4 linked regions of the Struthio camelus genome follow. The protein of the gene in region 4 interacts with the protein of the main gene of each other region in a pairwise test. Links are inferred from orthologs where the notes say so. Each region holds a gene or a part of one and is shown on either strand. Other genes may lie near its edges. The genes, in order: WASL, REL, ABI3 and NCK2.

Region 1 (7,645 bases), about 130 Mb from region 4:
GATGAGCTTTGATGCAAGGATAGATTCTAGCTAAGCTTGGGAAAGAAAAATGTTTTCCTCTGATTTGCAGAGCGGCTACAGAAATGTGCCACAGTTTCTGCAGCCAGCGATCAGCATACCTGTATAACAGAGAATTATTAAGAGGAGAGATAGGATGTTTCAGATACTAGTATGTGTTTTGGTCTGTCTTCTCCACAGCCCTGAAAAGGAGGATAATACAGTCCAATGAAGGAAGCAGAAAGGAGCTCTTGAAAAGAGCTAGGTCTCCCCCTGACTGATTTCACAGTTAAAACAATACCGCCGAAACCTTGCACCAGTATATCCAAAATATGATTCTTCATCCAAAGCAAAATCAATGTTATCCTTTGGTAAGCAGGACGGAAGGACACAAATTCTTCTCCTTCACCTTAAAGTCAACAGTCCGATATTGAAAATGAGAAGAAAGGATACAGCAACCAGAAAGAAATGAGTAACAGGCAATACAGGGAAAGAAAAATTCTAGCTAGTACCCAAGGCAGCATTTATGCAATGAATGAAAGAACTTACTGTCCTGCTATGTCGGTTCTCAGGCTTTAGCCTGCTCATTCCAGTGGCAAGGACGCTCTTCTGCGTGGCTGGCCCACAAAAGGAAACGATTCTTCCTACTAACCCTACAGGTTCATACGCATAAGGAATTATCAGAGGCTTTGCTGGATGATTAAAATAAAACTTAACTGCCAACTTTGCAACTTCTGTGGCTACTTCATGTCCTTCCGTGCCTGAAATGTTTAGTATATAAATTCAATAAATAGGAAAAAAAACAAATATAGACTCCTGGCTCTGTTTATTCCAGACTATTCCCTCCCCCCACTCCTGAACAAATAATCAAATATAAAATCTCTGTGAGAAAGGAAATACAGTAACTGCATCTGAAACTAACCATAAATTAACAGATGATTCAGTTACTTCCAGAGTAGGCTGAGATTCTTAAGCACTTAAAGGTTCAGTGCACAGAGAGCAGAAGCGAATGAACTTCTTTTCAGTATAATAACTAATATGCTATTTATATTGATTCAGTAACAATCTGAAACCAATTCTCTTAGATGAGTTCTATGTTGAGAGAAAAAAAAAAAGTGGTTTACTTAAAAAAGGGAACTTGTATCTTCACAAATCAAACATTATTTTCAACCACAATGAGAGTTCCTTTTTTTTGGTTACCACAAGTGGTTTTGCAGTAAATGGACCAGCGAACTCTACAGGCACAACCAAAAAGGGTGCTCAAGGAAACAAGGTCTTCTTTCCTTTTGCCCAGACTTTTACTATCCTGTTGACATACCCCTTAAACGTGGTGACAGTAATCATACATTCTTACTTCTCTTCTCCCCCCAGCCATATTTATGTGGTCACTGCAACGATGTAGGCACTTGTACTATGCTGTTCCACTTCTCATTGAATATAAAATGGAAGAGAGACGACAATATTTTTTTCCTATTGAGATCTTCATTCCTCTTTAAGCCTGCTTATTCTTCGTGTAATCAACCACCAAAGACTGCGTGACCTAAATTCAGTACTGGGACAAAATCAAGACTTGGAAAATGCAGTGCCACTACTAAAAATAAACAGACAAAATCCTTGGTGAACTGCTTCCGAGTGGAAACATTTCATCTCTTTCATTTAGATAATTAATTGTTATGTTTTAGAATGTGACCCTCACAAAACCTTTAAAATATGCTATGATTCACAGTGCTAGAAAGATCAACCTTAGGTAGAATGCTTTCCTCTCTTTTTTGCTTTTATTATTTTCAATTGCAGAATTTTATTTCTGAAATTGTATAAATACGTAAATTCTGAAATTCAAAGCACGCGACTTCAGAATAGTTATAGTATTCAACTTGTGCTTGTGACAAACTGTTGAAAAATGTAGACGTCCATATGTAAGGGTAGAATTCAGAGACATATATTTCTGTCAAAGGTATGTTTGACAAGGATAATAATTGTTTATTAAATAGTTGTTTACAATATAAACCTTTAAAATCATTACACTTGCTTATATCAATAGATGTATGTCACTTTCAACGTAGCTCAGTACCTTGGGACTATGAGCTGGTATTTTAACAATTTTGAAAGAAAAATACAAATGAGCATCAGGCTGCCGCAAAGCTTGTAGGAGTCAGCAGTGGGCAACGCAGTTTCAACCTTAGGGACTACAGTGAGAAATTCAGAGCAAAGCCTATGATAAAGGACAGCAATTTCTCTAAGACAGGTCAGCCAGAACACTGCAATTTCTTTCAAAGATAGCCAGGTAATTCTGGTTTGTGGCTTTGCTTAAAAGAACTTTCCTTGAAATTGGATGTGTTACGCAGAAATAGCAGCTCTTTGCTGGTATTACTGCTAATGTAAATATCAAAGGCAAAAATCTATTTTTCAGTGGGTCCCTTGGACTTACGACCAACTATTGATATTTCCATTTCACTTCAGGACTCACTCTTTTGCCATGATATAAAAACAGAAATGGCTTTTGCATAATTAATGAAACACAGCAGTTGAAAATAGTCCCCCCTTCCCACCCCCCCCTTCCTGTCTACCCTTAGTAAAAAAAGCAAACAAAATCCTAACAACAGAGTCTGGTTAAAGGGCCCTTAAGAATAGCTACTGGCCAGCTGGTCTGAGAAGAACACTCACTATGAAGCAAAAAGTATCACCAGTAACAATAAAACTTTATCTGGATGCAAAGATCCATACAACAAGGAATAAACAGTTAACATGAACAAAAATGAGAAAAACATCACTAAACTTAACGGGTCAAGGTGAGGAAAGTACCTATCAGAGGCCTACCATATTTTTAATTCAGCTATTTACATTGTGACCACCAATACAAGTACATACATTTCCTTGGAAAGGGTTTTGGCTATAAAATAACTCATTGCTTTATGAAACAAAAAACAAGTGCCTTGTAAAGTAGTTCATATCTGTTATCTTTTCACATACGTTCTCAATGAACGAAATGCTGCCAAAATTCTAATACACTTCAACTAAAATATTTCCCTTTCCACTAAAATACATTCTAAGTCTGGATACACTTACACGGAAAAGGAATTAAAACTGAATAATAACCTATTATTGCTGAAATGTATGTTGTAAGCATTTGGGTCCTATTCAGTGTTTTTCCTTTATAACAAAGGCCCTAGCCACTTACATGACATCTGCACATTGAGGAATGCTGTATATGCCTTTATTTTAACCTTTTGTACTGGAGGCTCAGGATTTTCCCCCATACATTTCCCCTTCCTCACACTTTCAAACACTGTTACAGGCTCTTTTAAGTAAGGGGAAAAGGGCCTAGAAGCAGTGCAGAAGGGTTTGCCATTTGTTCCCGCCTGATCTTTTGGAAGATGTGAAGGAAAGTCAGCACAACTGCGTACCAAGATTTGTGCTCACACGTTCTCCTCCTGTGCTTGTTTTTTTTTTTTTTTTAATACAAAGTAAATCATCACAGGAAGACTGGTTTGGCATTTTCCAGATGCACAACAAATTTATCAGAGAGGATGAAGTCAACCTATTCTTCGCTTAAAAATACTGAGAGAACTAGCAGGGTGCTCACTTGGACATCTGGCTTTCACCTTCATACTGGGAGGAGCATGAGCACTTCTCCTGCGGAGCTGCAAGTCGGCCTGGGCAGCGGGCAGCTGTGCTCTGGACTGCAGGGCTTGGAAAGGTCTTCAGCTCCATCCTGGCTAGCAACTACTGCACGGAGAGAGGCAGAGGGAACAGAAACCTAGCTGGCAAAGCATACCGACTGCGTACGCAGCTCCTCTGCGCTGACCCCCTGGAAAGCCTAAGTACCTGCTACTATTTCTACTTGCTATTTTACCTCAGACTGCAAAAGCCTGTGTTTAGGAGGGTAGAGTCTCGCACACCCCCTCCTACGTCTCTGTGTGACCGAGCACGGAGGAGCTGCCTCTGCGCAGCAAAGGCTGCAGGAATTACCCACCCCGCGCAACACAGCTTGGAACAGCAAAACTGACTGGATGATTTGCCAGATAAGCCATCAGGAAACATTTTCCTTTCAATAACAAACATTCAAAGGATTTTTGAGTTATAAATTAACTCACATTTGACTAAAAATTTAACAGGAATTCAACCCTGGCCTTCTAACACGCTCTTCATCACCTCCATCCTCAAAGCACTGCACGAAGCCAACCACACTGCGCGCTCACGTTGGTAACGAACTTAAGCAAAAACGACAACGGCGGAGGGGGGGGGTTTCACCACGAACGCTTTTTATGCCCTGTCCCGTTCCGGGTGACTTTTGAGTACGGGCCCGAATTTTTCTGACACGTTTTCCTCACACGGGTGGGCAGCGGCGGCTACCTCGCCGCCTCAGCCCCCGCCACCGCTCCCCGTCCGGCCCGGCCGCCGCCTCGCCGCCAGCCTGGATTCCGCTCCGGGCCCAGCGGCCGGGCGCGCTCCTCCCGGCCCCGGCCCCGGCCCCGGCCCCGGCCCCGGCCCCGGCCCCCTCCGCCAGCAGCCGCCGAGCCGAGCCGGCCCGGCAGGTATTGAGGGGGGAGGGCGCGGGGCGGCCCCCGCCAGCTGCGTGAGCCAGCGCGGCCCGCCCAGGGGCTGCCGGCCGGGGCGGGGCGGAGCAGGGCGGGACGGGACGGGACGGGACGGCAGGCGGCGGGTCCCCGCACCGCGCATGGTAGCGGCGGCGGCGGCGGCAGCAGCGCGCTCGCCGGCCTCCCCTCTGGCTGCCGCGCGCTGTGGTCTCGCCCGCCCCCGCTGCCATGTTGGATTGTGCGGCCGCCGGAGCCGGGCCGAAGTTGGAAGTTTAGTGGCCGCCGCGGGGGTGGGCGCGATCCGCCGGCGGCGGCGGGGCGGCCCGACGCCTCCTCTCTCCCCTCCCCTCCCCCGCGGGCCGCCGGCAGCTCGCCGAGGCCCGGCCGCCGCTCTCCCCCCGCCCCCTCCCGCCTTCCCCGGCCCCGAGAGGGAGGCTCCGCGATGCGGCTGCCGTGAGGCCGCGGCGGCCAGGAGCAGGACGAGGAGGAGGGGGCGGCCGCGGGCGCCGACGGTCGCAGCGCGGCGAGGGCAGTGCCGAGCCCCGCGGGGCCGGCGCCGGCGCCGGCCATGAGCGGCAGCCAGCAGCAGCAGCAGCCCCCGCAGCCGCGGCGGGTCAGCAACGTGGGCTCCCTGCTGCTGACCCCGCAGGAGAACGAGAGCCTCTTCACCTTCCTCGGCAAGAAATGCGTGGTGAGCCCCGCGGGGAGCGGCGCGGCGGGGGGGGGACCGGGCCCGGCCCGGGGCCGGGGCCGTGTGAGGACAGGCGGGGGACCGCGTCCGGGACCTTGTCCGCCCTCGCCTCGCCTCGCCTGGCCGGCCCGTACGCGGCTCCCAGCCCGGAAGTTTCTCCCCGGCCCAGCCGCCTTCCGCGTCGCCGGCGCCCGGGCGGGGGACGGCGCTGCAGGCCCGGCCTCCGCGCCCGCCTGGCCCAGGAGCTGCGGCCTCGCGCGGGGCCGGCGGCGGAGGAGGCGGAGGAGGAGGAGGGCTGCGGGCGGCAATGAATGAGGCGAGCGTGGCGCTGCCGCCGCCGCCGGCAGGGGAGAGGAGAGGAGGGAAGGGGAGGCCGCGCCGCCCGCAGGTGGCGGGGCCTCGCCCGCGCTGCCGCGGCCAGAGGGGGCCGCTTCCCGCAAGCGCTGCGCCGCGCCGGGCCCGGCCCGGCCCCCTGCCCGTGCGGGAGCCGTGCGCGCTGCGGGGGCGCCGGGCTGGGCCGCTCCGGGCCTGGCGCCGCCGCGGGCTGCGCGGGGCCGCTCGGCGCCGGCCGTTTCTCCGGGCGGCCCTCTGGAGCGGCGCCGGCAGCCGTGCCCAGCGCCTGCCCGGCCTGTCCTGCGGGGGGCGGCGGCGGCGAGCCCCCTCGCCTCTGCCCCGCGACCAGCCTGCGGTTTGGCCGAGGGGACGGGGCAGCCATGGAGCTGCTGCAGCAGCACTCGGTGGAAGAGTTTAATTGCCTGACGAGGCTGACATGAGTCCCGGTTGCACCTGTGGTACAACAAAGCAATACTGACAAAGTTGGAGGAAGGCTCGTGTGGGTACTAGGCCTGCCTTGGATGTAGCCTGTGCTTTTGTTAGCCTGATCAACAGGCTTGCATCTTTAGCTGCAACTTCAATACTGCGTTACTCCCTGTCAAAAAAGAAATGCGATATCAAGATTAAAAAAGGGGTGGGGGGGGGGAAAGGTGTAGTAGATGTGTTCCCAAGTTCATCAGTAAGTTCTTAGTTTCTTGAATAGCTTCTTGCCTATTAATATAATGTAGTTATGAAGTATAGTTTTAATATAATTTTCAGAGCTTCAGGAGTTAACTGCATATATTTTTTCCTAAAGGACTTATCATTTTTCAAATTATCTTTTTGAAGCCATTTTAAATGATGCTATCCTGATGTTTTCTGATACTTCACGTCCAGTGCCTAGAACAGCAACGTTAGGCACCTACACCTTCTTGTGGCACTATTTTAAAGCAGGATATCGGTGTCATCATAATACATAACCCTGTGGACTTTGAAATGGTGCTGTTGATCAAACCGGTTGTTGCAAGGAAGGAAAGAGATATAACCGAACAGGAAATGGGTGATGTTTGCATTGGGGTGAGTTAAGTAACATGAGGTTATCATAATTAAGTTGCTGCCATTTTCAGATGGGTCAGAAAGCGTGATTGTGAAATATGTAAAAAGAGACTTATGCTAAAAAGTAATACATTTGTAAGAAACACCTTTATCTCACTACTTGAATTACTTTCAGGCACACATTTCATGCATTTCATTCCATTACAAGAAAAAAAGTAAACTGTTGTCTATATTAAAAGGAAGCACATGAATTTGTGTGCTTCAGTTGATTTCCAGTTGTTTTTTCTGTGGCTTAGATTTTCTTGTCAAGGGAATGTGTCTGTTTTTGTTATGTATGCTCAGCTGTAACGCTCATCTTAAGTTTTTGAAATGTGTTATTTATGGGGATAAGTTAAACCGGCCTCAAGGTAAACAACTTCATAGTGTCTGGATGATGTGTGGTTTGTGACATGTTGATAGCTTTATAGATACAGGGTTTTTTTGTTTTTTGGTTTTTTTTTGAGACTACACATTCTTGCCATTTAGTCTGAATCTTGAATGACTTTCTAACTGAGAATTTCTTTTTATTATTTTTTTTTAATTATGGCCACCCCCTTTACCCTTCTTCTCCTGCCCTATATGTTTTCTAGCTTAAGGTCAGGCATCTTACTGTAATTGAGGGTCTATATCATATGCTTGAGGACTTGGGTCCAGAAGACTATCAAAGATAGTACTCTAGACTTCTTGGCTTTCTTTAGCATGCTGAGGCAAAATTGTGGCAATTCAGAAACTACTTTGTGAACAAATTGAACACCTCTATCCCAGGGACAGCAGTGGATAGGTACCTGGGGATGATAACAGCTTCGACTTTCCAATTTGAATCCATCAAGTCTGACAGAGCTGTATGGTACTCTGTATACCGTTGATCTTCTAATTTGAGTACAACTCAGTGTCAGTGTGCTATGCTATTTTTTTGTTTGTTTGTTTGTTCTTTACTATAACATTATATTTGATATTTTAGTAATATCCATGTTTGGAATTAGTCATTATTGAAGCTTTAGACAGTAAATAT
Region 2 (7,773 bases), on a different chromosome or scaffold from region 4:
CTATATATCCTGATAACCCATGGGTTAAAATAAATAAATAAAGGTAGTCAAAACACCAATTACATACCGTGCTTGAGTGGTCTTTGATTTTCTTGTTACTCTTTAGGTCTTTCTTTTTCAAGAATATCAATTTATTTAAATACAGTTTTTGCCTGTGGTGGTGTAAAGATTTTTTTAAAAACAAAATCTTATTGTTGTGAGCTACGTGTGTGTCCTACCGCTATGCTTGGTTGTGATGTCCTGCTGCATGCCTCCCTTTACAGTGTCTGTGCCCCCCAATTTGCTTGTGCCCCAATTTGTTACTGGCCCCCGCGCAGCGGGTGTATCTGATCCACGCTGCGGGGTGGGCAGTCCTTCCCACCCGGTTAATGTTTTGCTAGATTTGACCTAGGGCCAAGTTCTGAGATTCGTGTCTGATCTGGATCGGAAATGCTCCGAAAGTTAGTTACGTTTTAAGTTGAGGGTTGTGATTTAACAAGCTTTTTCTCATACTAGTTTTTAGTTACCTTCATTTTTATCCCCAGTATGTGTAGCTTTCTGGTACCGGTGGCAGCATGTGCCTGCTCGGTGCCAGGGACCTGAGGAGAACAGGGATCGTGAGGGGGCTTGGTGCCTGGAGGCCAGGGACGCTGGGAAAGCAGAGTTAGAGGATGGTGTGAGGACACTGGAAAAGCGGGGGGCGATCCTGGCCGCAGGAGCGGTGCGCCGCACGCGGAAGGCTCCTGGCGAGGGGGTGCGGGCCCAAAGGGGGGCGAAGGGCATGTGCCAGCTCGCGGGGTCCCGGGCTCTCGGCCTCAGGTAAAGCACCCCGGTAAACGGGATGGGACGTCCTCCTCCTTTTCCCTGCCGGGTGCCCAGACTGAGAGGGAGGCAGAGACGAAGCTTTCAGGGTGGCTTTTAACTGCCGCGGGAAGCTGCCGGGGCTCAGCAGCCTTCGGGCCGTTCGCCCAAGCGGACGGGCGCTCTCGGCGCTCAGCGGGGGCCGGGCCGGGCCGCTCCGCTGGCCCCCCCGGCGGCGAAGCTCGAGCGCGGGGGCGGCCCGGCCCGGCCCGGCCCCGCTCCGCCCGCCGCCCTGGGGCGTTTCCGCCGCCGCCACCCCGCGGGCGGGGCGGGCAGCGGGGAAATCCCCCCCCCTCCCCCGCGCCGGGAGGCGGAGGCAGCGCGGGGGGCCGGGCCGGGCCGCGCCGCCCCCCGCCGAGGTGGCGGCCCGGGCGGGGAGCCCCGCGGCGGCAGTCGGCCCGAGCGGCTGCGCGGAGCTGTCAGCATGGCCGGTGAGTGCGGGGCGGCGGCGGCGGCGGGCGGGCGGGCGCCCCTGCTCGGGCAGCGAGGGGCCGGCGTCTGCGCGGCGCTGCCCGGGGGGGCCCCGGCCCCTCGCTGCCGCCACCCCCGCCGTCGATCAAGGCGGCAGGGCAGTCGGGGCGGGGGGCGGCCGGGTGACCGTGCTCTTCGCCCCTCACCCCAGCGTCGGCTTTGGGCCTTAAATCCTTGCCCGCCGAGCTTGTTAAGTGGGCTTAAGGGGAAAAGGTTACGGAATAAAGGTCTCGGGGCTGTCCGGATTTTAAATCCGAGTCTTTTAAATCTTAAAGCGCGTCGCTGAAACGTTGAGGCGTTAAGTAAGCAGGTCTCAGGCCTGGGGCGGACGGACGGACAGACATCAGTGGGCCAGGGACTCCTCGATGCTCGGCTGGAGCCTCTTCACAGGGGAACTTGCTCCTGAGAGTGCGAGTGGAGAAGGAGCAGAGATGGTCTAGACGCAAAGTGACGTAGATAAGGGAGCTCGTTAAGTTTGAGTAATTACATCAAAAAGCACCATTAAGTTTCTTTAGTCTAAATTGAACTGCATCTTTAAAAAAAGGAGTTCTCTGGCATCGTTCTTTGGGATTAAAAAAATCTGTTTCAGACTCGACAGTGTTAGTTACAGTGGTGTTTTTAGGGAAAGACGCTCTCCAGCCTCCGAGTTAATGTGTGTGTTCTCTTGTCTCTTACCAACGTATAAACTTTGTGCTCTTGATACGCGTGTAGATGCTCACTATCAATTGAGAAATAAAATTAGTGGGTTTGTATGGAGGGTATCTTATAAAGGTTACATATATGTGTGTGTGTGTGTATTTTTATAATGGCTAAACTGAAGCAGAAGGTAGCACTTTTTTCTTATCTCTAATATATTTTCAATGTAATTAGGAACTAGATAAGGAATTTTTCAGCGGGGGAAGTTCTTAACTTCCTGGTACTAGCAGCTATTGTAGCTGGGTTTTGGTGTGTTTTTTTTTTTTTTTTGGTTGCTATTCTGTAATGTCACACGATAACAAAGAGGAAGTTCATGAGCAGTTCTGTCTCTGTTTGACTCTGCACAGTTTATGAAGTCCTAGGTAGGTTACTGCTTTCTAAAATATATATGTGTTTACACTTTGGGTTATTTTAGATGGAGCCAGAATGTTCTTCAGCAAATCTTGTACCATGGTGTTTTTTGCCTGAGCTACTGCAGGAGGTTGTAAGTGTTTAGATTGCTCTCACTTTTTGGAAATGGCTTTTGCTTTGGAGTATACAGAGTCACCAGAGTTCTGCACAGAACAATAGTACTGGAGTTAAAGGGCAGCACTTTTCCCATCTGTGTCTTACTGCACTTACCTCAAACCTGATGTTTTTGGGTGATGTATTCACATCTTCCTCAAAGGTCGTGTTCGAGTTGGTCTTGTGGCCCACGCCTACTTTGCTTGCATACTCAGATATTGCACAAGAATACGTTCACAGGTATTCCATGCAAGAAAACTACAAATTATGTGGTCCTTCCAGAGCCTGTTTCGTTTGAGCAAAGCAACAAGAGGAAACATGAATCCACCGTCTAGTTGTCCCTCTACCTGGTGGCATTTTGTCTTCCTCCAATCTCACCACACCTCTAAACGTCCTCATCCCAAAGGTCCAACTAAGTCTCCTCCACTGCCTCAGGAATTCTGCTTTATGGATACAGACCCTCATTTTAAGATGAATACTTTGCCTATTCCTCTTGCCTTGCCTGCAACACGCGTTCCAGGGTAAAAAGACTTAGTCTTTGATAACTCTTCAGCAGGCATGTTTAAAGAAGTTGCTTCTGAATGGAGGAGTAGGAGATAGGTAGGAAGCCTTTATTTATGTCCTTTAGTTTTAATCCTAATGGCTTAGAGGGTGTTAGACTTTAAACTGTCCCAGGTTTCTTGTCTTGGGGAGGTCTGATGGTCTGTTTTGATTTTTTTGGATGATTGTCCTTTTGTACCTTTTTGGATTGCTCCTACAGTTCAGAATATAACAGCCTTTTGTTCTTGAACGAGTGTAAGCTGGCTAAACTCTCAGTGCTGTTACCTTTTTTCCTTGCTTGTGTAATTGGGACACTTGATCTCCTGCATTTCCTTTTAAATTATTTACTGGAGCACTGATGGGGGGGGCAACAATTTTACAATGAAAAGAGGCAGTTTGTAATATGTAGCGTAATATTTCTACTGCTGGTACGTGCATAGGCAATTATAATCACAAACGCAGATGAAACTCTAAAGCTCTGTCTCCTTAAATGAAGGGTTAGCTAGATTTTTGTTTTGCTTCCATTTCAAACCCTTGGCTGAGTAGATGCGGGCAAATAGGTAATATAAGGAGCCTTACGTTTCTCTTACAGGATTGGTGGAAGAGTGTCAATTTTTGACATAGCTCATATTTCTTTGACAAACAAAACAAGATCTCAAAAGGACAGTTCTCCAGCAACTGTGTGTGTGTGTGTGTAGATTATGAAATAATTAAACAGTGCCACTTCACAAGTACATTGCTTATTTACAGAAATAGGGAACACTGAACAGACCTCCACTTCACTGCAGAGTGCTGATAATACCTTTAGTTCACGCAACCACTTTTATGTGTTTCCTCTCTACACAAGACATGATGACACTGATAAATAATTGTGGTGGAGATAATAACATGATTCTTAAATAGAGAGAGTGAGAACCAAGATAAAACGAAGTTTAATATTTAATCTCTGGAGGCTACCGCGTCACTGAGCTTAACTTTCCCACAAACACACCTGCTGTTAAGCGGTGGGTTTGCCTTCAATGACATTTGTTTCGACCGCAGTCCCCTAAAGATCATTGAGCCCAGAGTTCTAAAATACTCAAGTGCTCTTAACGGGTGAGAAAAAAAAGTCCTCTTAAGCGAGTATTAGTAAGTAGAGCGTGAAGGGAAATCATTGGTTAAAGCAGAGAGAGTTAAAGACTTGAAATTATTGTGTACTATAGCAATTTCACACAGCAAGGCTCTAGCTAGTTTTGACAGATACGTAAGGTATGTGGGTGTGTTGTGGGTCTGTTTAGCAGCTATGCAAGCATGTGTCTGTCTCCAAAGAAAGAAGATTATTAGGCACTTTACTCCAGTTTTGTCACCGTAACATCTAAAATAGATTTTTAATTTAATATATAGATATATGTCTGTATTTGTGATACGCTGTGTTATCTAGGGATGGAAAAGTGAGATTCTTTTCTCTCCTCGCTTACGTGATGGAGATGGGAGGCTAATGAATACCCAACAGTCACTCTTCTTATTGTCCACTGGACCGACCTGATATATGTGTTAGCATAAGTAAGTTTTACGTGTGAAAGTTGCATAGTCGTACACTGATGTGTGGGCTTGACTTTGTGAGGAGCTGAGGCATCTGATTGCTCTCTGCAGCCAGCTTTGCACGAATTCTAGGCTTTTTTGTTAATACTGTCCATCCATCCTCACCCTTTGCTGGATTTGCTTGTTTTCCAGAAGGAGAAAATATGAAAACTTATCTGAAGGATCTGAGAGGCACACGTAAAATTGCCCATCCTTGTGAGTAACTGGGGCTAGAGTAGTGGCTGAGATGTGTTTAATGTGACAGCGCAGGGTCTGTCTTCCGAAACTGACTTAAAATCTACTGGATGGAAGGTGATCAGTTTTGTTATTGCCATTTTGATAAAAGGTTAGAAAGCAACGTGAAACTGTCGTTCTCAGATTTTGCCACCAAATACAGCCTGAAGTTGAAATGCAGTTTGCCCTTCAAAAGGCATTCAGCTGACGGACTTTGGAAAGGCGGGTAGTGTTGAAGGCAGTGCCAGCATCAGAGCTCCTTTCATGTGCTGCCATTCCATAGCGGTCTGTAAATGTCTTCAAGTAAAACATACATACAAGTAAGAGCAAGGTGACAAGTTGTGTTCTTCTGATCGTGTAACACCATGATGATTCAACTTCTACAATATTTACTTTCCCTCTGTTATTTGTTTTTCACATGCCATCCCACTGTTGTCACTGTTTGACTGACTATCCTGTTGGCTGTTCTCAGTGAGATATGTTCGATACCTTGAATATATTGGCTGTCAGTAAAACATTACTTTAAAATAGCGAAACTCATGCTAAGTCAAAAGTCTTTCTAAACCTTTCATTAAAAACAGCTGCTGTCTCTCATTCTTGTCTGTCACATTTCCTGAAAAGCCTCTTTTGACAACTGCCCAGTAGTCTTTACTAAGATGTTTTCTGTGTATGGGGGATCCTGCAACCAGAAGCTAGCCCTGTGGGAAGTGGGCAGGTCAAACTGCAGTACCAGCAATCGTGTATTTTCTGAGACCCTCAGTGATGGTACTCAACCAGTAGCAGTGGGTGTGGGGGGGTTCTGTATTTTTTTTTCTGTTTTTTTTTCTTTCATAATTTGCATAGTTTCTGCTTCACTATAATGGGAACTAAATCAATCGATTCTGAGGAAATATCTTTACTTTCAGAGGCTATTCAAGAGAACATACTACTGACAGTACCTGTACTTTGAGAGGACAACCATTCCTAAAAGTGTATTGTAATTAAAAAATATCAACTGTTCCCTTGAAATAATGATTTTTTTTCTTCTGTTGTATAAAATCCTCTTTTATCAGACATAATTTCTTTTAGCTATTAGAGAATTTAAGTTCCAGGGGAGATGGGAGGGAGGGCAGAATCCTCTGCTGATTATTTACATGGCATTGATACCTGGACACTTCATTTTAAATCTGCTGTCCCCTCCTTACCCCTCACCTTTGGTTGCGTGTATACACATTGAAAGAAGAGTTGATTGTCTGACAAGGTAGACCAAATGAAATAAAGGTAATAATCAATAAAAGCATCTGGATTTTCTAATTCTTATGTAGCAGCTAACCATGTAGCTTGCCTTCTGCTGCTTTTTAGTCTCTACTACTAGCATTGAAAGTGTTTCATTTTTTTTTTAAAGGTGGCCCTGAACCCTACATTGAAATATTTGAACAACCCAGGCAAAGGGGAATGCGTTTCAGATACAAATGTGAGGGAAGATCAGCAGGCAGCATTCCAGGAGAACACAGTACAGAAAACAATAAGACGTTCCCTTCCATACAGGTAATACTACTTTTATCCAGGATTATCATTGCCCACATTAGCATTGTACTGTAGCTATGCGTTTGATTTGATGCAGTAAATAAAGAGGATGTTCCTCATTTCATGCTGTGCCAGTCTTTCCTGGGCATCCAAATGTAGTTGAAACAGATTGGAAAAGGAGTTCTTTGCTGCTGGTCATTAAAGATTTTGCTCCACATTTAGCAGAACAGAAGATGATGTACAGGTAGGTAACAAAGCACCAGTACAGAGGGAACTCAAAGTAATGTTACTCAGTGTTGGAGAATCATTTGTTTTTAGCTTTTTCTGTATGTTCGCATGTTCTGCTTTCTTAGTTTTGTGCCTTGGGTTTAATTTAACTGTTTTGGACTGTAATGTGAATTTTGGGAGGGCTCTGAAGGAGGCTGTCCGTGTACAGATTTTGAAAAGGCCAGTCTCACTGCTGGTGCAGCATGAAAGAAAGTACTCTGTAGAAAGGAGTAAAGTAAGAAAGTGACTTGCAGCCAGTGATTCAGTGATTAGTTTCTGCAACAGAAACTACCGTGAAGTATATGAAGTCAGAAGGGGATACAGAATTTAAAAAGGAGCTGAGAAAGGGGAATTATGTGGTCAGAGCACCTGCGGGTGAAGAAGAGCTGGGTGGTTGCATTAAGGATAGGTTGGGAAATCCAGAATGAAGGGATTCAGGCTAGTCCTGGCAGCTATGATCAAAGCAGAGACAAAGGTATGGACAGCGGAGGTGGATGGAAGTGTTTTGGAGATGTTGTGAAAGTTAACTGCCAATCTTGCTGTTGTTTCCTTTACATGTGGGACAAAGGAATGTGTCTGGGAAGTCCTAGATGGGTAGGGTAATACAGAAGAGTTTTTCTGGTTTGCTATTTGAAGTTTTAAGTTGATAGGTTTTCCTTTATCTCTTACAATCTGGAGAGAATCTTTGAGAGTTGCGATAAGAACAGAAAGTTCAAGTATAAAAGGGAAGTCATCAGTATTTGCAATCTTGAAGTATATTATGGTCCTCAGGAATGGAAGCTGTGCGTCTGTGTGTCTGCAGTGTGTGAGAGTGTGGAAAGAATGGAGCTAAAGATGGAGTCTTTGGAATTGCAGCAGAGAGAGAGATACAGGGGAGGTGAAGTCTGAAAGATATGGGATGTTCTAAGCTGAGGCATAAAAGCCTCAGCCTCCTCCTTGAGAAGGGGAGAGTTTGAGAACGATGGTATTGGCAACGGGTGTGCTGAGCAGCAGAGTGAGCTACTACGCAGAGCGACCAGGCTGGCCTAACCCTGAAGCCAGAATCGCTAAAGGAACAAGCAAGTAAGAAGGCAACCCCTTGGCTAGCGTAGTGCCAGAGCTGGTGAAGGAATAAGGGAAACTATGGAAATCTTGCTCAATTGTTCTTTCAGCACT
Region 3 (7,522 bases), on a different chromosome or scaffold from region 4:
GTCGCCTGCGCCCAAAACCCGCTTGCTCACGGCAACACCTTGGCGGGCAGAAGCCCCCCCCACTCCCCCCCCCAAAAAGGAGCAGGGTGGCGCCGTGCCCCAGCGCAGCCCTCCCGGCACCGTCCCACCGCGGGGGGGGCCCGCGCCGGTACCTGGCCGATGCCAGCGAGGAGGTCGAGGAGGCTGCGGACAGTTTCCCTTCGGGGACCACAGGCGGCTGGATGGGCTCCGGGACGCGCAGTCCCCTCCTGCGGGCAGGGAGGGTGCTGAGCCCGGCCGGAGGTGCCGGCGGGGCAGGATGGGACCGAAAGGCAAAGCCGCCCTCCCCCCCCCCCCAAAATCCCGGCGCGTGGCCTCACCCCAGGGTGCCCGCGGCCGGCACGGCCGACTTGATCCCCTTCCGCGACAGGGTCCCCGTGCGGGACAGCTGGGTGCTGTGGTCCTGAGGGCGCAGGGCAGACACAGAGCGAGAGGAGCAACCAAGCGGTGAGGCCCGACGGGCTGCCGACCGACAAACTCATTGCACCGAGGCGCGCCTCCCCCCCCCCCAAACAAGGCTGCAATCCCCTCAAGCAACGCAATGCCCCCCCCTCCCGCCCGCCCCCCCGATCGCCCGCGGCCCCGGCAGGGTGCTGGGGGCTCCGGAGGAGCGTGGCCAGCCCCCGCGGCCCTGCCGGGGAGCACCCGGGCGCTCGCGGCCGAAGCGGCCGCCCACGGCGGCCTTGGCCCCGTGGGAACGGCGGCGGCAGCTTCCCCTCCGGCGGTCTCGCAACGGGAAGCGGCCGCCCGAGCTCGGCTGCCACCTGGCCCCGCGCCGCGTCCCCCCCCCCCTGACCCCCCTCCCCGGCCGACCTTCACGCCGTGCCCGACGTCGTCCAGGACGCCGAAGTTGAGGGGTTTCCTGTAGTAGGGCTCCAGGCTGGGCGGGTTGGCGGGAGCCGTGATCTTCTGCTGGCACGGCAACCTCTTGCCCACGGTCAAGGAGCCGATCTCGCGGCGGGACACCTTCTCCTTGTGCATGTCAACCATCTGCGGGGACCGGCACTGTCCCCCGCCGCAGCCCTGCTGGGTCCTCCCGACCCCCCCCCCAGCCATGGCCACCTCCAGGTCCCACCACCCCGTGGGTCCAGCCCTCCCCAAACAACGCGTAGCAGGGAAGGACCATCCCGGGGCAAAAGCTTAACGTGGGCTTGAGCCGCCGCTCGCTGGCCCAGCCGCAGCCCCGCCAGCGCCGCGGGGGCAGATCCGCTCTGCGGCAGCGGGGACCCACCACCGCGTCCCCCCCCCACCACCACCGCCGCCACCAGCAGCGCTGGCCCTTCCTAAAGCGGATGCGGCGGCCGGGCCGGAGAAGGGCACGGAGGCACGGGGCCGCGCGTCTCGGCCGCCTTTAATCCGTTTTCCTGCTGCTTCCGGAGCGGTAGGTCGGGATCCTTCCAACAGGAAAGCCTCCAGGCGACTTTCAAGTAACAGGAAGAGGGCGGGCGGCTGCAGGGCACCGCGCCGGCGGCCGCGGCTCCCGGAGGATGAGGCCGGGCCCCCGGGATGCCTGGGCGACCGAGCCAACATCCTTGACCCGGCGGGGACCTCGTGGCCGTGGTGGGGCTATTCCTGCAGGGCTGGACTTCCTGCTACTGCTCACACAGTGGTCTCCACCTCTACCGGCCTTCACAGACCCCCCCCCTTCCTTTCCTAGAGATCATCCCTTTTTCAGGGCCCAGGGACCCAACCCCAAGGCAACGAGGAGACAGCATCAGTCTGAGGAAATGGCCTAAGATGGCCCCACCTGGGCCACACAGCTGATGTCGGCCTCCACCCTCCGGAGCTGGGCCGCCTGGAGGTCCAGCATCTTGAGGAAGCTGGTGGCCAGGTTGCTGATCTGATAAGCCACGCTGGCCAAGGACTGGGTGCTGTAGGCCATGGTCTCCTCCAGCGCCTTCCTCTTGTCGCTCGCCTGGGAGACAAAAACACACCCTGGTATGACGACTCAACCAGTTGGCCAACGCCAACCCAGCTGGGCGGGGAGCTGAGAGGGTCCCCACGAGCTCCACGCAGCCTGGCTTAGCGCTCCCAAGGCGGCGGGGTGGCACCGTCCCCTCGCCAGCACACAGGCAGGGGAGCCCACCGGGCTCCGGCAAGCCACCCCGCCGCGGGCGGCGCTGGCGCTGCGGTCGGCCCCTGCCCGCCGGACGCGCGCCAGGGGGGCTCCCGCCGCCCAGCCCGGCTGGCGGGGGAGCTGGGGTTGACCCAACGTGACGCTGCAGGCCGGCTTCTCTTTCACACGGTACGAGGAGAAACCGTTTCCTTCTGCTTTCCGACCGCTCCCCGCCACCGAGCCGTCGCGCCGCCCTGCCACCCGGCGCCGTCGGGGGTCTTCTCGTCCGCCGGGCGGCTGGGCTTTAATTGCTCACGGGGCTGCGGCCATGCTGCAGACGTGGGCCGGGGCCCGGCCCCCAGGAACCCCCCCCGTCCCCAGCCCCGATGAGGCTGCTTTGCTGCCGCTGTGCGATTGGGGGGGGTCTGCACCCACGGTCCTCGCCGAGGGTCTCTCGGGAGGCACCGAAACCCCTCTGAGGCCAAGACAGCTTCTGCCTCGCCTCCGCTCCGCAGCTCAGCCCCCGGAGCGCAGCCCGGAGCGGAGCAGGGCAGCCGCCCTCCCAAGCAGAGGGGGGCAAGAGGGGAAACTGAGGCACGAGCCCAGCACATTCCCGGCGGCGAGCACCGCTCGGCGGGAAGCCAACGGGGAGACCCGAACCCCCCCCGCCGGTACCCGAGGGTGCATCGCATATCTGCCACCCCTGAGCCCCGCGTGCGCGGGGAGCAGCTCCCCGGCGGGCAGCCCCTCCGTGCCGCCCCCCACCCGGAGCCCCGCGCACCTGCACGTAGTTGCTCTCGCAGTAGTCGGCCACTTGGCCGAGGTTGCTGCGGTTGTCGCGCAGGAGCCGCCGGGCCGCCGGGATGTCGCGCTGCTGCAGCTGCTGCAGCTCGGCCATGCCGCCGGCCGCCGCTCGCCTGCCGCTTCCCTCTCCGGCGCGGTTTCGAAGCTGACGCCGGGGCGGCGCGGGCCCCGGGGGCGTGGGTGGGGGGAGCGGTGCGCGCCGCCCGGCCCGGCCGCCCGCCGCCGGCACCCTTCACATGGCGGCTGCCGGAGGGCGCAGCGGCCGAGCGCCCGGCGAGCGGTCGTCCCGCCGGCGCCTGCCGCGCGCTCCCGGCGCGGAAGGATGTGAGTCACGCTTCGCCGCGGCAGCCTGGGGAGCCCCCCCCCCCCCCGCCGGGGCCGCCGCCGAGCCGGCTCGCCTCCATCCCCGCATCCGTCGGCCCATCCCGGGCTGCCACCCGCGGGTGCTGGCCTGCGCCGGTGCCCGGGAGCACCCGAGAAGGGCCCTGCCCTGCCCTGCTCGTGCCGCCGCTGCAGCAGCAGGGGCAGGACCAGCGCTTCAAAGCCCCGCGCGTACTAGAAACTGATAGCTCCTCCTTATCACGCAGGCGAGCGAGGTACCCAAGGCTCCCGCTTCAACTCCCAGGCCTTGCTCACTGCCCCAAAAAAAAAGACCTCGGACCCCTCGCTGCGGGTCGCGCCGGCCGCCGGGGCCTCGCCGGGCGCAGAGGGGCGTTTGCAGCAGCCGCCGCGTCTTAGACCTCGGGCAGCCGAGCGAGGCGCGAGCAGCGCCCCCCCCCACGCCGCGCCCGGGGGCAGAGTTAAGGACGCGGCTGGGCCGACCCGGGCTGGGCACACAGGGGACGCGGCCCTCGGCCTGCCCCGAAACCCAGCTGCGCTCCTCTCCCCTCCCCACGCTCGGCGAGACGGGCTCCGGCTCCCGCGGGGGATGCTCCCGTCGCTCCCGAGCCGCAGCGCCGGCCGCGCTCGGGGGCTTCCCGCGTGCCCCCCGGCCGCCGTGCTCTGCTGCGCCCCTGCCTTGCGCCCCCAGCCTCGCCGCCGCCCCCCCCCCAGCACCCCGGCCTTCGAGGCTAATGCTCGACACCTGACCAGCTTATTCGCCTGAGTCTATTATCAGATTAGGGAGCAAAGACATCTGCTGCCTGGTGGCGGCTCGGAGACCTGAAGGAGTCTTCAAGCCCGGAGCAGGGCAGCGAGCGCCCGGAGGCTGATGCATCCCTAAACGCGTCCGTGTCGCAGAGCGGGAGACCCTCGTCCCCGCAGGTAAGGGGCTTCGCTTCCTCCAAGCGGGGAGGACGTCGCTGGTGCCTCTCGCTTGGCTCGGGAGTCACCTCCGCCATGGGCAGGTCGCGCCGCTGCTGCGGCTTTCGGCTCCTCCGCGAGAGCCTCCCGGTGCCGGTGTGCTGGCGGCACCCACCGCGAGCGGGGCACCCACTGGAGCAACCCGTCGGGGCCCTGGGGGCGCGCAGGCTCGACGCCTGCCAAAGCAACGCCAAGGCATCACAGCCGCGTTGCTCTCGAAAAGATCGCGGCTTTCAAACCCCGCTTTAACTTTTGACGCGGGACCGGTTCTTCCACCGCGCAGGGCGGCTGCCCCGGGGATCTCGCGCAGCCCGTGGGCAGGGTCTCTGCAAAGAGCGCGCGAAGCCCCGAAACCTCCTCCCGCAGCAAGCGCTGCGTTGCAAACAGCAACGCAGGGATGTAGTCCATGGTATTTACCTTGGAGGGTCCCATCCTTTTCCAAACTTGGCTTTAGCTAGAAAGTCTTTCTCCTCATCTGCGACGGTTTTATTTATTGAATTCCCGAAGTACATGTATTTCTTACAAATGCCAGGTGCAAGCAACACATCTATGTGCTTGCTACGAGCTAGTGGAAGGACTCTGGGTTGTTCCATCTCTACAGATGTTACAATAAGTGGTGCGAAAAGTGCACCCTCCCTCTCTTTTAGCTTCAACCCATTTACTCAGGGTCTACCCGTCTCGTAGCTGGGCCATTAACAGAGGCGGCGATATGGTTAGGGCCAAAGTGACGGGTCCGGCGTGCCTGGACCCGAGAAGCTCGTCTGTAAGCTAATAACAGGCCGTTTCTCTGCCGTCGCAGGGCAAAATGGCTCAGGATATGACAGAGAAGGAGCTGCTGAAGATGGAACTTGATCAGCTGAAAAAGGAGGTGAAGAATGAGAGGCAAATGGTAAGCATTTCCACCCAAGTTCCCCCCGGGGCTGCGGGTTTGCCAACGGAGGAGTTCGGCACGAGCGAGCTCTTCCGAGAAGCTGGGGCGATCCTACGAGAAGGACTCGGTCGCACTGGGCCACCGGGTCAGGTGTTCTCAGGGCTCCCCAAGGGTGCTGCGGGGGTACCCGCACCCCGCGCTGGGTGGCACGGGAGCGACGACAGGCGGCTGTAGGGTCGCGCTCCCGCCTGTTGCGCGAACGGGGATCTGCTCAGCCCACGAGTCGGATCGCTGTTCTGCGGTGACATTTTGTCCCTGTAACCTACGGGGAGCTTCTGCTCGGCAGATCTCCAAGACCGGCAAAGAGCTCAAGGAATACATCGAGTCCATGGCGGGAGAGGACCCGCTGTTGAAAGGTGTCCCCGAGGACAAGAACCCGTTCAAGGAGAAGGGCGGCTGTACGATAAGCTGACCCCGCCGCCGTCGGGGCCCGGGGCCCGGGGCCCTTCCCGCGACCCAGCCGAGACTGTAAGAAACCTGCTTTCCCTGTAGCCTGACCCCACACTGGGGAGGGGAGTCCAGACCCAAAATGTAGCACAGCTAAAGGATGACAAAAGAAAAAAAAAAAAGGCAAATTAAAAAAAAATAAAACTAAAACCAAACCCACAGACCCCGGAGATGAGGTTCAACAGCCAGAGCTATGGGTGCGTTTGTGCTCTCACAGCAGACTGAAGTTTCGTTTCCTGCAAGCAAAACTTCTGCAGTTTTAGCAGCCAGCAGCAAAACGGGGCTTTAACAAAACTGCAGGGCTGGAGCGCGTCCGGGCTTAGCCTTCTGCAAGCCACCAAAGCTGGAGCAGGCGCTGAGCCCCCTCCCCGCTCACTGGGACAGAGCGCCGCTTCCCCAGTGCAGCGCTTTTAGGTTGGGAAACTTCCCCAGGTCCCCGGGTATCGTCCCGGCAGGTGAACCAGGCTGCCCACTACAATCATTTGGGAAGAGCGATGATATTTCGGAGCCCCATCCTGTTCCCCCTTGAAGGCTCATTCTGCCTCAAGCACATCACCCCCAAAACAGCCATTCCCTTAGGACACGGCTGCCCCCTCCAAAGCGGGCAGGGGAGGGCAGAGCACCCGAGAGCTGGCAGCACCCCGGCGCGAGGGGCTCGCGGGACGGGCTGGCACCCACCCTGCCCCATCTCACGGCTCGACCCCACGGATGGCCCGGGGCACGGTGGGGGGATGTCACGGCACACAGGGCCCCTGGGAAAGAGCAAATCTCCAAGCTTCCTATTCGAAACTCTCACCGTTGCCGCTCAGTCTCACTTCCTCTGTGGGGAACCCCCGCCACCCCCAGCAGCCGTGGGAGCACAAGGCTGTCAGGTCCCGGTTGCGATAGCAGCAGCTCTGAGCGAGGGCTCAGCTTCAGCAGCAGCTCCATCTCCAACCACATCCTTCGCTGCACGCGGAGGTGGTGGAGAAGGGCCTGGGAAGGGTGAAGGGGCTGCAGAGCCCCAGCCCACGGTGGGGAGTGGAGACAGGGAGGAGCCGGTGGTTCAGGGGGCCGACGCAGGCACACTTCTGCCCCCACTTCTGCAGCTCAGCAGCTCCCGGGTATTAGGCAGGACTTGTCCAGAGGCCCAGCCCTGAGCCAGGGACGCTGGCAGCAATCCTGCTGCTCCCAAGAGCAGGTTGCAGCCCCCTGCTCGATAGACAAAGCACATCGGATGGGAACGCAGCCAGTTTCCACATTCAGTAGGACAATACTTAGTGACGCTTTAAGTTTTTGGGGTTTTTTTTTTTTAAATCTATTACACATGCATATTATCTTTAGGAAACCTCCCCAAAACAATCCCAGCTGATTAACTCCAAACAGCAGCAACTCTTTTTATTCCCCCAAGGCAGCACCCACCCCCGTCTCTGCTGCAGATCCCCCATCACGCTCCCGCTCCGTGGCAGGTCCGGCAGCACCGTGCCCCACCGCCGACTCCAGCCTGCCATCTCGCAGCAGCCATAGAGCACCAGGTTGACCCCCAGCCCCACCTCCCCAGGGCCCAAATTTCCTCTGCTTAGAGGCTACATACACACAGTGTCTGATTTAGACATAGCAGAGCTGAGGGCCACAAATTCAGGGCATGAACAAACCGTTCCCTTCTCCTGCGGGACAGGAGCCTTGGGAGGAGGTGGCAGCGTAGGTGTCACCTGCTGCATGCGCCTGCATTCGGGGGAGCACCCGTGCACCGCGGGGAGGCAAGGCGGCAGCCGCCGGGGCTTTGGGAGCACCGTAGAGACAGGGCTGGCACTAGTTTGAAGGTGAGCATATTGCTTTTGTTCCCATCTGGAGGTGCCTTAATGAGCGGTGCAGTCCCGCTTGGCACAGTCCCTCCGGGAAGCCCGTGGAGCAGGGGAGACCCGCAGCAGCCACTGGGGTCAGGCCCAAGGACGCCCCGAAGC
Region 4 (7,804 bases):
CTGTGTGGTTCCCTGGGCGTATGTGGTCTAATTTAGTGGAGGGTCTACTGCTTCTGCAGCTGTGTCACCTACCGGATCTCTGCATAACTGAAAACCCACCCTGCTTCTCTTAAGTTGCCTCTCCCTGTGTGTTTTTCCCCATGAGAGGAGAATATTAGCTTGCAGTCCTGAGCAAGCTCCAGTGTGGGCAATTATATTTTGCCAGCATAAATTACCCTCTTCTTGCTATTCTGCGCTGCTCGTTCCGAGCTGCAGGGCGGCGCTGCCACGGGCTCCGGTCAGGTATCTGGCGTTTAAATCTAAAATCGAGACTGTGCTGCAGTCAAGCCATTCAGCAGCAATATTCTGAATTTCAAAACTGTACGAAAGATCAGTTTTAACCTTTGAATAGACTTCAAAAGACATCCCTCAGCACACTTTCACTTTCAAATAAGCAGGAGAATCAAGGGCCCTGACATTTCCAAAGCCCAAAACACGGGTTTGTTTTCCTTACAGAAATACACTGAACCTTAGCAACTGTCTACAAAAGATTACGATAGAATTTATCATAATACAATGTGATCTGCTGATAGATTTAGCTCGCAGTTTTACAGCACCTTTGGGTAGCTTTGGTCCGTTGAATAGGAGAATTTGGATGCATTTTGAGCTCTAAGGACACGTTCTTCCCCTCAATGTTCTTTGTAAATGTCATTGAAGATGCAGCAGTCATGCAGCAAGTGAGAAAAGCAGCTGTGTTACTGTCAGGCTGAATTAGAATCATTGTGCAAATATACTTAAGTGACTCAGCAGTAACTAATTGAGTATTTGAGATGTATTCTCCCCTCGTAGCGGTCATGTAATTCCCCTTTGTGTACATGGGAATCAAGCATATGCTTTAAGCAGAACCTATATGACATGTGGGAATGCATACCATTTAAGAACCAGACTGGGGGGAGAAAACGCACGTTAACATTGCTTTCAACATTTTTAAATTAACTTAATCACAAGTTGGGAAATTTTCTGAAAGTTGTTTTTAAGATGAACTTTTTTTTTCAGATGAGAAAGAATTAAAAGGTATGTTATTTTTTCCAGCGTATCTAGTACTTCCCTTATCTCTTCGTTTTCTTAGTGGCATAGAATTACAACCCCACATAAATGAATGGAGTTTATTATAACATCATCTCCTTTAAAAAGCAGTTTTGAGAAGCAGGAATAACAATTTTCAAAATAAATGAGTTTAGATTTAGGAATATTTTCTCTCCAATGCGCTGACATGGAGATACGAAGTATCTTCACTGTCAGTCTCTGAGCTGGACAATGCTGTCTTCCAGAATTTAGAAGGATGTTCCAGACCCTCCTTCTCACACTGGCCTAAGGCAGCCTGTATTAATTCATATGCTAGACAGAGCTGCTGGCGAAAAAAAAAGAAAGAAAGACAGAAGTATCTAGACAAAGGATAAGGTATTTGTGCAGAACGGGGAAGGAGTCCCACCTCAGAGGTGGCAATCGTGGCCTAGCCACTGTGAGGTGCAAATGTATTAGCATTTCTCAGATGTGTAAGGCTGCAACCTGTGGCAGAGACGGCGGCTGCATTGCCTTCCATGAGCAACCGACCGCTCCTCCGGGCGCGTGGTAAAGCACAGGTAGCATTACATATGAAACAGAAAATGGGGAGTCATAAAAAAAGAAAGGTAAAGATAAACAGGAAAGATAAATACAAATTTTCAACCTCTTGTACAAGTTATGAGTATCAAGATGAACTGACTGCCACTATGCAATCATGGAGTAAATCTGTCACACAACCTTTAGCTTTGTTGTTTGACTGTAACCCTATTCTAGGCAGGAGTACACAGCTGACTGCTTCTTTAACAAAGATGAAGAGAGAGCTTTCCACTGCCTAACCATTTTCTCCTTTATTTTTACTATCCAGTTATAGCCTTAGGCTGAGAGAAATATTCATGCTGTTCTCTCCAGTGTATATATTTTCTAAGGACTGCACCACTCTTATGCATATGCAAAAGTGTATACTTTGCATATTTACTTTCTTTATACAAAATACTGTGCCCTCTACATCATGTATTGCTTTCACTTCTGTGCAGATTCCCCCAAATTTATCATCTTCTCACATTCAGAATTTAATTCTGATTCAGATCTTTTAAGTAACAGTTATTCTAGAGATAACAGTTAATTATGATATTTCAAAATGTGTACATTAATATTTCAGTAGGCTCAACATTTTGAAATACTAGTCAAAGCAGCATGTTAGTCTTTTTGCTGGCGAAACAGAAGGATACTTTCAGTAGACAGGCTGTTAAAATACCTTTCAAAATACCATTCCAAACCCTTTTTACAGTATCTTTTCTTTGTCATAAGCCACAGTTTGGAAAACCATCTTTAATGGCTCATTCCTTAAAATAATTAAATATATTTAACAACAATAAGCTTCAGGGTCCTTAAATTAGTCCTTTGCATGAAGACAATGTGTTCATTTAAATCCCTCTTTAAAACATTCTTCTTCTATAAATCCTATTAGCAGTAATCTGCTACAGCTAGGTGCGCTTTTTAATTTTTTCAGACACCTAGAAAGCTTTGAGATCGACTGATCATTTGGTGTCTTATGTTTCTGAACCCTTTCAGAGATCTAATTTAGATTGTGTACTCTTTGTAGTCATGTCATCTTCCTCTGTGCATCCTCAGCACAACAGCGCAGCAGAAAAAAACAATGAAGCAGAAGATTTCTATACAGCCAAGTTAGCAGGGAGGGGCAAGATGGGACAAAACTGAAATTGGAAACTAACTGTATATTACAAATGTAAACTAGAGCAGGGATAATTCAGCTTTCCATTACTGCTACCCGCAGTGCGTTTTGCTCCGGGAACCACAGAGACTTATTTCTGAAAATCCTTGAGCAACCACTCCCATTCAAATTCAGAGTTCGCACTCGCAGGCTCCAGCCTTAAGGGAGGCTCGAGCAAGGCCTCAGCCCGCAGCGATGCAGCCTTCATCTGCATGAAGTGGGAGCACAGCACAATCTTAATTTCTATTCCTGGGACCCCAAATATTTTCTCAGGCTAAAAAAAGCGTTGTCCGATTATTGCTCAGAAAGGGAGATTAACACTTCTCAGAATCAGAGTCAAACGTGTGCAGCAAAAGACTTGAAAGGAAAGGGGCTTTCTGCTCTTCCCTGAGGGGCATGCAAAGTCTTCCTCGGAGGAAACAAGGGACCGCATTTTTCTTTCAGTTTTATCTAACAGGCACGTGAAAGGCAACTAGGACATCTGAAACCATCAATTAAACGTTGCAGGAATAAGTAAAAGTTAAAAAGAGGAAGAGGGAATTATTCAAAGGCTTATAAACTGTTAAGGAACACAAAAAAACCTCAGAAGAAGTAAGGTTTTTTTTTACATGTATACCGGAATGTTTCAGCACTAAACATCTGTGCGCTGAGTTCTGCCCACTATTTTTCCCTTGGTCAGCGAAAATAAGACAGTGCTCTTGGGGACTGCTGAATTTACTCCGCGTTTAGAAAAAGTGGCATTGCATATTATTGCCTCCAAAGCCAGGAAAAATGACCTGAAGAAAGACTAAACCAGCCCTGGCAAGGCACAAGCCTCTTCTCCAGAGCAGGCATGTGTGGAAGCTGGTTAATTGTTTGCAAGTTTCAGGCTGTTTCAAAGTGACTTCCTCTTGCAACATTGATTTTCTTTTCTAAACTCTCCAGTTCCCTCCACAAGGACAAACGTTTCCCTTCCCCTAGAGGGGACCCTGCCAGAGGATTGCCTGTGAGAAGAGGAAGCCCAGTTCCTGGAGGCAGGGCAGAAACTGTCCCCTACACCACAACTTGCTGCGACTGGCAGCCACACGAAGAGGGTTGATCCTTTCCACGACAGATTTCATTCTCAAAGACTGCTTTTTTTTCCTCCCCCCCTCTCTTTTTGGTCTTCTTTAACCATTTGTGGGAAAATCCTTCTTTGGCCACTCGTGGAAAATTCTTCCGGCGCTGCCCGCGCCATCCCCACTGCACGCGGTGGCGTTTCAAGAGAAAAACCAAGCGGCTGCAGAAGTCGGCAGGCAGCAGGAGCGCCCTTGTCCGCAGAGCACCTCCAGCTCCCGCCGGGCAGGCAAGCGAGCCCCGCGGATTAAAGCGGGAGGGAAGGCTGGGAAGTTTACAGCGGGGCAGAAAGAGGTTAAGAAAAATAAAAATAAAAATCAGCGGCAGCAGGAGAGGGGCCGCGAGGCGCACGGCAACACCGGCGGCGGAGGCCGCGCACCGCTCCGCGCCCCGCTCCGCGCCCCGCGGCGGGCCCCGCGGTGACGTCACGGCCCTCGGCCAATGGGCGGCGGGGGCGCCCTGATGCCAAGGCGGAAAGTTCCCCGCGGGTCGCCGGTTCGGTACCCCGGTCCGGCGAGCGCGGCCCCGGCGGCTCCTTCCCGGCGCTGCCCTCTGCCCCCCCCCCCCCGTTTCCTTTAAGCCTCCCGCCGGTACTTTCCCCAGCGCTTCCGCTGCCTGCCGAGGGGGATTTTCACTGGGGATGCCGGGTTTCCTGAGGTGTCGGGAAATGGGGGAGGGGATGGTGGGTTTGGGGGATACGAGGGGAGACCGTTTCCGCGGCGGGCGCAGGGCCCCGCCCAGCGGGAAGCCCCCGGCCCGCAGCAGCAGCGGCGGCGGCGGGGAGGCGCGGGAGGGCCGGGGCGGGCGGCGGCAGCGCTCCCGGGGTGCGAGGCAAGAGTTCAGGGAGCTCCTCCCGCGCCATCCCGGCAGCGGCAGCGGCAGGAAGGGCAGGGCGGGGGCGGGGGCTGTGTCGGGGGGGGGGGGCGGCGGGGGAGGGGCCGATGCTGCCGCCGCCGCCGCTGCCGCCGGGCGCAGCAGGCTGAGGGAAGGCAGGAGCGGAGCCGCCGCTGAGGGCCGGGGCCTTGGACGCGTCCGGCGCGGAGCGGCGCTGCGCGGTGGAGGAAGAGGAAGGGGAAAAGGGGGGGGGGAGGGAAGCCGGCCCCTCTCGGAGGACGCAGCCCGCATCCGCCCGCGGAAGGGAAGAGGGAAGGAAAGGGGTGAGCGAGCGGGCAGGCAGGCAGGCAGGCATCGCCGCCGCCGCCGAGACAAAGAAGCGGAGCCCGCCTGGGCTGGGAGCCTCCCCGCCGCTGCCATTACTAAGCGCCCCGCTGCCCGCCCGCCGGCCGAGGTAAGCGCGGCCGCGGGCAGGGCAGGGCGCGACGGGACCCGCCGCAAAGTTGTGGTGGCCGCCGCGGGCCGTTGGGGCGGCCGGAGCGGGGGGGGGGGGGGGGGCGGGGGTGGAGGAGGGGGGTGGGAGCGGCCGTTGGCAGGGCGAGGTGGGGCGGGGGGGGAGGGAGCTCGCGGCCCCCCCCCTCCTCCTCCCGGGGTGTGTGTGTGTGTGGGGGGGATTTACCTGCCGCGGGGGGGGGGGCGGGGGGGCGTTTTCTGTGCCACGTCCAGCCGCGGGCGTTGTGTGTGTGTGGGGGGGGGAAATGGAGGAGCAGAGGCGGCTCCTCCTCCTCCTCCTCATCCTCGCCGAGTTGGCCTGTGTGTGTTTGTGTGTGACAGCCGCCGCTTTGTGTCACCCGCCGTCCTGGCTGAGGGCCGGGGCGCCCCCCTCTGCGGGGGGGAAGGGGGTGTCAGGGCCGCCCCCGCGGGGCTCCGCTCCGGCCCGGCCCGGCCCGGCCCGGGGTGGCTGCTACCCGAGGGCAAAGATTAGGGAGATAAATAAAAATACTCGCCTAGAGATTGGCACGGAATAACCTCCGCCGACAAATAAAGTTGGCTTCGCCCGTGAGCTCGCGTTGGGCATGGGTAAATCTAGGGGAAATGCCCTTTTCTTTTTTTCCTCCTTCCTTTTTATTTTCTTTTGTTTTATTTTTTTTCCTTTTTCATTACGCGAGCCCTCTTGGGAGGAGGGCAGCCGGGTAGCACCGGCACCACCGTCAAAAGCGTTTAAAAAAAAAAAAAAAAGTTTTCTGGAGAATTATCCCTGGTATTCAGGGCATGGACAAAAGTGCTCTGTGTCCAAAAGCTGCTGCGGCGGCGGCTCGGTCCGGGGGAGTGGGCCGTATAAGTGCTTTAAAAGCGGTAGGTCGTTTCCATTAGTTAAATAAGGGAAACCCAGCGCCTGACACTGTTCGGAACAAAATACTGGAAACAAACGAGCTTTACCCCCTGCAGGGTGGGAATATTCTGGTAACTGTACCGCTATACTGTCGTTGCTTTCTCCCCCTGCCCCCCATTCCACTGGTTACTTTCAGCTTTAATAGATCTAAGCCTTCCCTTTCTCCCCCTCCGCTTTTTTTCTGAGGGATAGAGTGAACATTGGTATAATACGCCACATCAGTCGACACTGATGTTAACGTAGGTAAACGACAAAAAGCTGCAGCAGCACAACATAGGTAAATTACACCGTTTGTTCAAAACGTACCACCTCTCTGGGGCTATTGAGAGGAAAAATATTTGCGTTTATAAATCTTTTTACCCTGTTTTTAATTGACAGTGTGACCACACAAACAGCTACCTTTGCTGGCAGGTTGGGTACAGTGGCCCACCTCAGTTAAAGTTGTCAGATGAGGATTTGGCCTTGTAATTCAGGTTTGACTTGTGACCCGAATCATGTGTGCCTCTGTACTGTAGTTTGTATGCTAAGATCTCCCACTAGTTTTTTTTTATAGTGCATATGGCCTTCTGTGTTTATTAGAGCTATACTGTGAACCAAAAGTAGTTTAACTCCAAATCGTCCTGTTTGTTTGTTAGGTTAAAACTTGAACGCTAATTAAAGCTCAGCACAGATTTAAAGCATTGCTCCTCTGACTGGATTCAGTTTCTTTTACTTGCTCTGAAGCAACACTTGTTTCTGAGAGCCTACTCTTGTAACTGCTTAATGTAGGAGAATTAGAGGTCTCTTTCATGAAACATGGTAATGCCCTTATAAAAACAAATCTGCATGGCCTGACCACGCATGGTTTATATCACTGAGAGTTTGGCCTGGTGACTTAATATGGAGGAATTTGAAAGGGCTTACCGGGTGGGAGCTTATTAAGAACTTCTTTTCAAAAGTGCTAGTTCTACCACTGCTTTTTAGGGATCCTAAGCAGGCAGCACCATGTAGATAATGTTAATGCTACTGCGTTTTTGTTTTGAGGATTGTAACTTCTAACGTAAAATGACTTTGCTTCTTAGAAATACTGTTCTTAAAACTCTGGAAATTGAAATCTTCTGTCGGACCCAAGTAATAACATCTTAAGCTTTGTTACCCCAAGGAGAGATTGTTTTGTCTTTATAACTTTGTCTTCTTGAAACTTTGACAGAGGATGTCACTTTTGGGAACTGTGAATAAATGTAGAGATAGAAGGCACTTGTACCAGTCCAGACTGTAATTATCTGTTTCATGGCCTATGTTAAAATATTTTCTGTAGGCTGTAATTGTTCTCTCATTGCAATGTTAGCTGTTACATTGGCTTTTTACCTATAGTAGATGCTATTTCCAGTTGTTGTTATGATACAACGTTATACAAAATCTCCTTTTCTATATGTTTCCAATAATAACAGCAGAACTCTGCATGGTCGCCTGCATTGTGTTCGCACTACCGAATATCTGATTAATTTGAAACTCCAGCCCTTGGCTTGTTACTGCAATGAAAAGGGAACTTACTGTCCGTTTTCCCTCCTCACACTATTTTCTTCTATAGTTTCCTGGCTAGCTGTGTGAGAGTGTAAGGAAAGGTATTTGCTATCTTACGTGTCATCTCACAACTAATGTCTGCTAAAGAGGAGGAACAAGGTCAGCAGTCTCCTTTTTTTCCATCCCTTGTTTTTTTGTATCCT

What was found.
Region 1: the proteins of NCK2 (region 4) and WASL interact in binary tests that used the Homo sapiens proteins (3 or more experiments, as listed by UniProt). The two-hybrid records come from large-scale screens. The link is inferred for Struthio camelus from reciprocal best matches to the Homo sapiens genes NCK2 and WASL.
Region 2: the proteins of NCK2 (region 4) and REL interact in binary tests that used the Homo sapiens proteins (3 or more experiments, as listed by UniProt). The two-hybrid records come from large-scale screens. The link is inferred for Struthio camelus from reciprocal best matches to the Homo sapiens genes NCK2 and REL.
Region 3: the proteins of NCK2 (region 4) and ABI3 interact in binary tests that used the Homo sapiens proteins (3 or more experiments, as listed by UniProt). The two-hybrid records come from large-scale screens. The link is inferred for Struthio camelus from reciprocal best matches to the Homo sapiens genes NCK2 and ABI3.

Annotation. Positions count from the first base shown.
Region 1 is NC_090942.1:24,923,025-24,930,669, forward strand, and holds the start of WASL (actin nucleation-promoting factor WASL), read left to right. Parts: upstream 1-4,633; 5' UTR 4,634-5,103; coding exon 5,104-5,226; intron 5,227-6,392; exon of another isoform or gene 6,393-6,534; coding exon of another isoform or gene 6,535-6,615; intron 6,616-7,645. UniProt on the Homo sapiens protein: Regulates actin polymerization by stimulating the actin-nucleating activity of the Arp2/3 complex. Involved in various processes, such as mitosis and cytokinesis, via its role in the regulation of actin polymerization.
Region 2 is NC_090944.1:131,632,765-131,640,537, reverse strand, and holds the start of REL (proto-oncogene c-Rel), read left to right. Parts: upstream 1-4,760; 5' UTR 4,761-4,775; coding exon 4,776-4,827; intron 4,828-6,229; coding exon 6,230-6,372; intron 6,373-7,773. UniProt on the Homo sapiens protein: Proto-oncogene that may play a role in differentiation and lymphopoiesis.
Region 3 is NC_090966.1:5,218,401-5,225,922, forward strand, and holds the start of ABI3 (ABI gene family member 3), read right to left. Parts: upstream 3,012-7,522; 5' UTR 2,994-3,011; coding exon 2,877-2,993; intron 1,955-2,876; coding exon 1,787-1,954; intron 1,030-1,786; coding exon 853-1,029; intron 443-852; coding exon 360-442; intron 249-359; coding exon 153-248; intron 1-152. UniProt on the Homo sapiens protein: May inhibit tumor metastasis. In vitro, reduces cell motility.
Region 4 is NC_090942.1:154,295,164-154,302,967, forward strand, and holds the start of NCK2 (cytoplasmic protein NCK2), read left to right. Parts: upstream 1-4,796; 5' UTR 4,797-5,159; intron 5,160-7,804. UniProt on the Homo sapiens protein: Adapter protein which associates with tyrosine-phosphorylated growth factor receptors or their cellular substrates. Maintains low levels of EIF2S1 phosphorylation by promoting its dephosphorylation by PP1.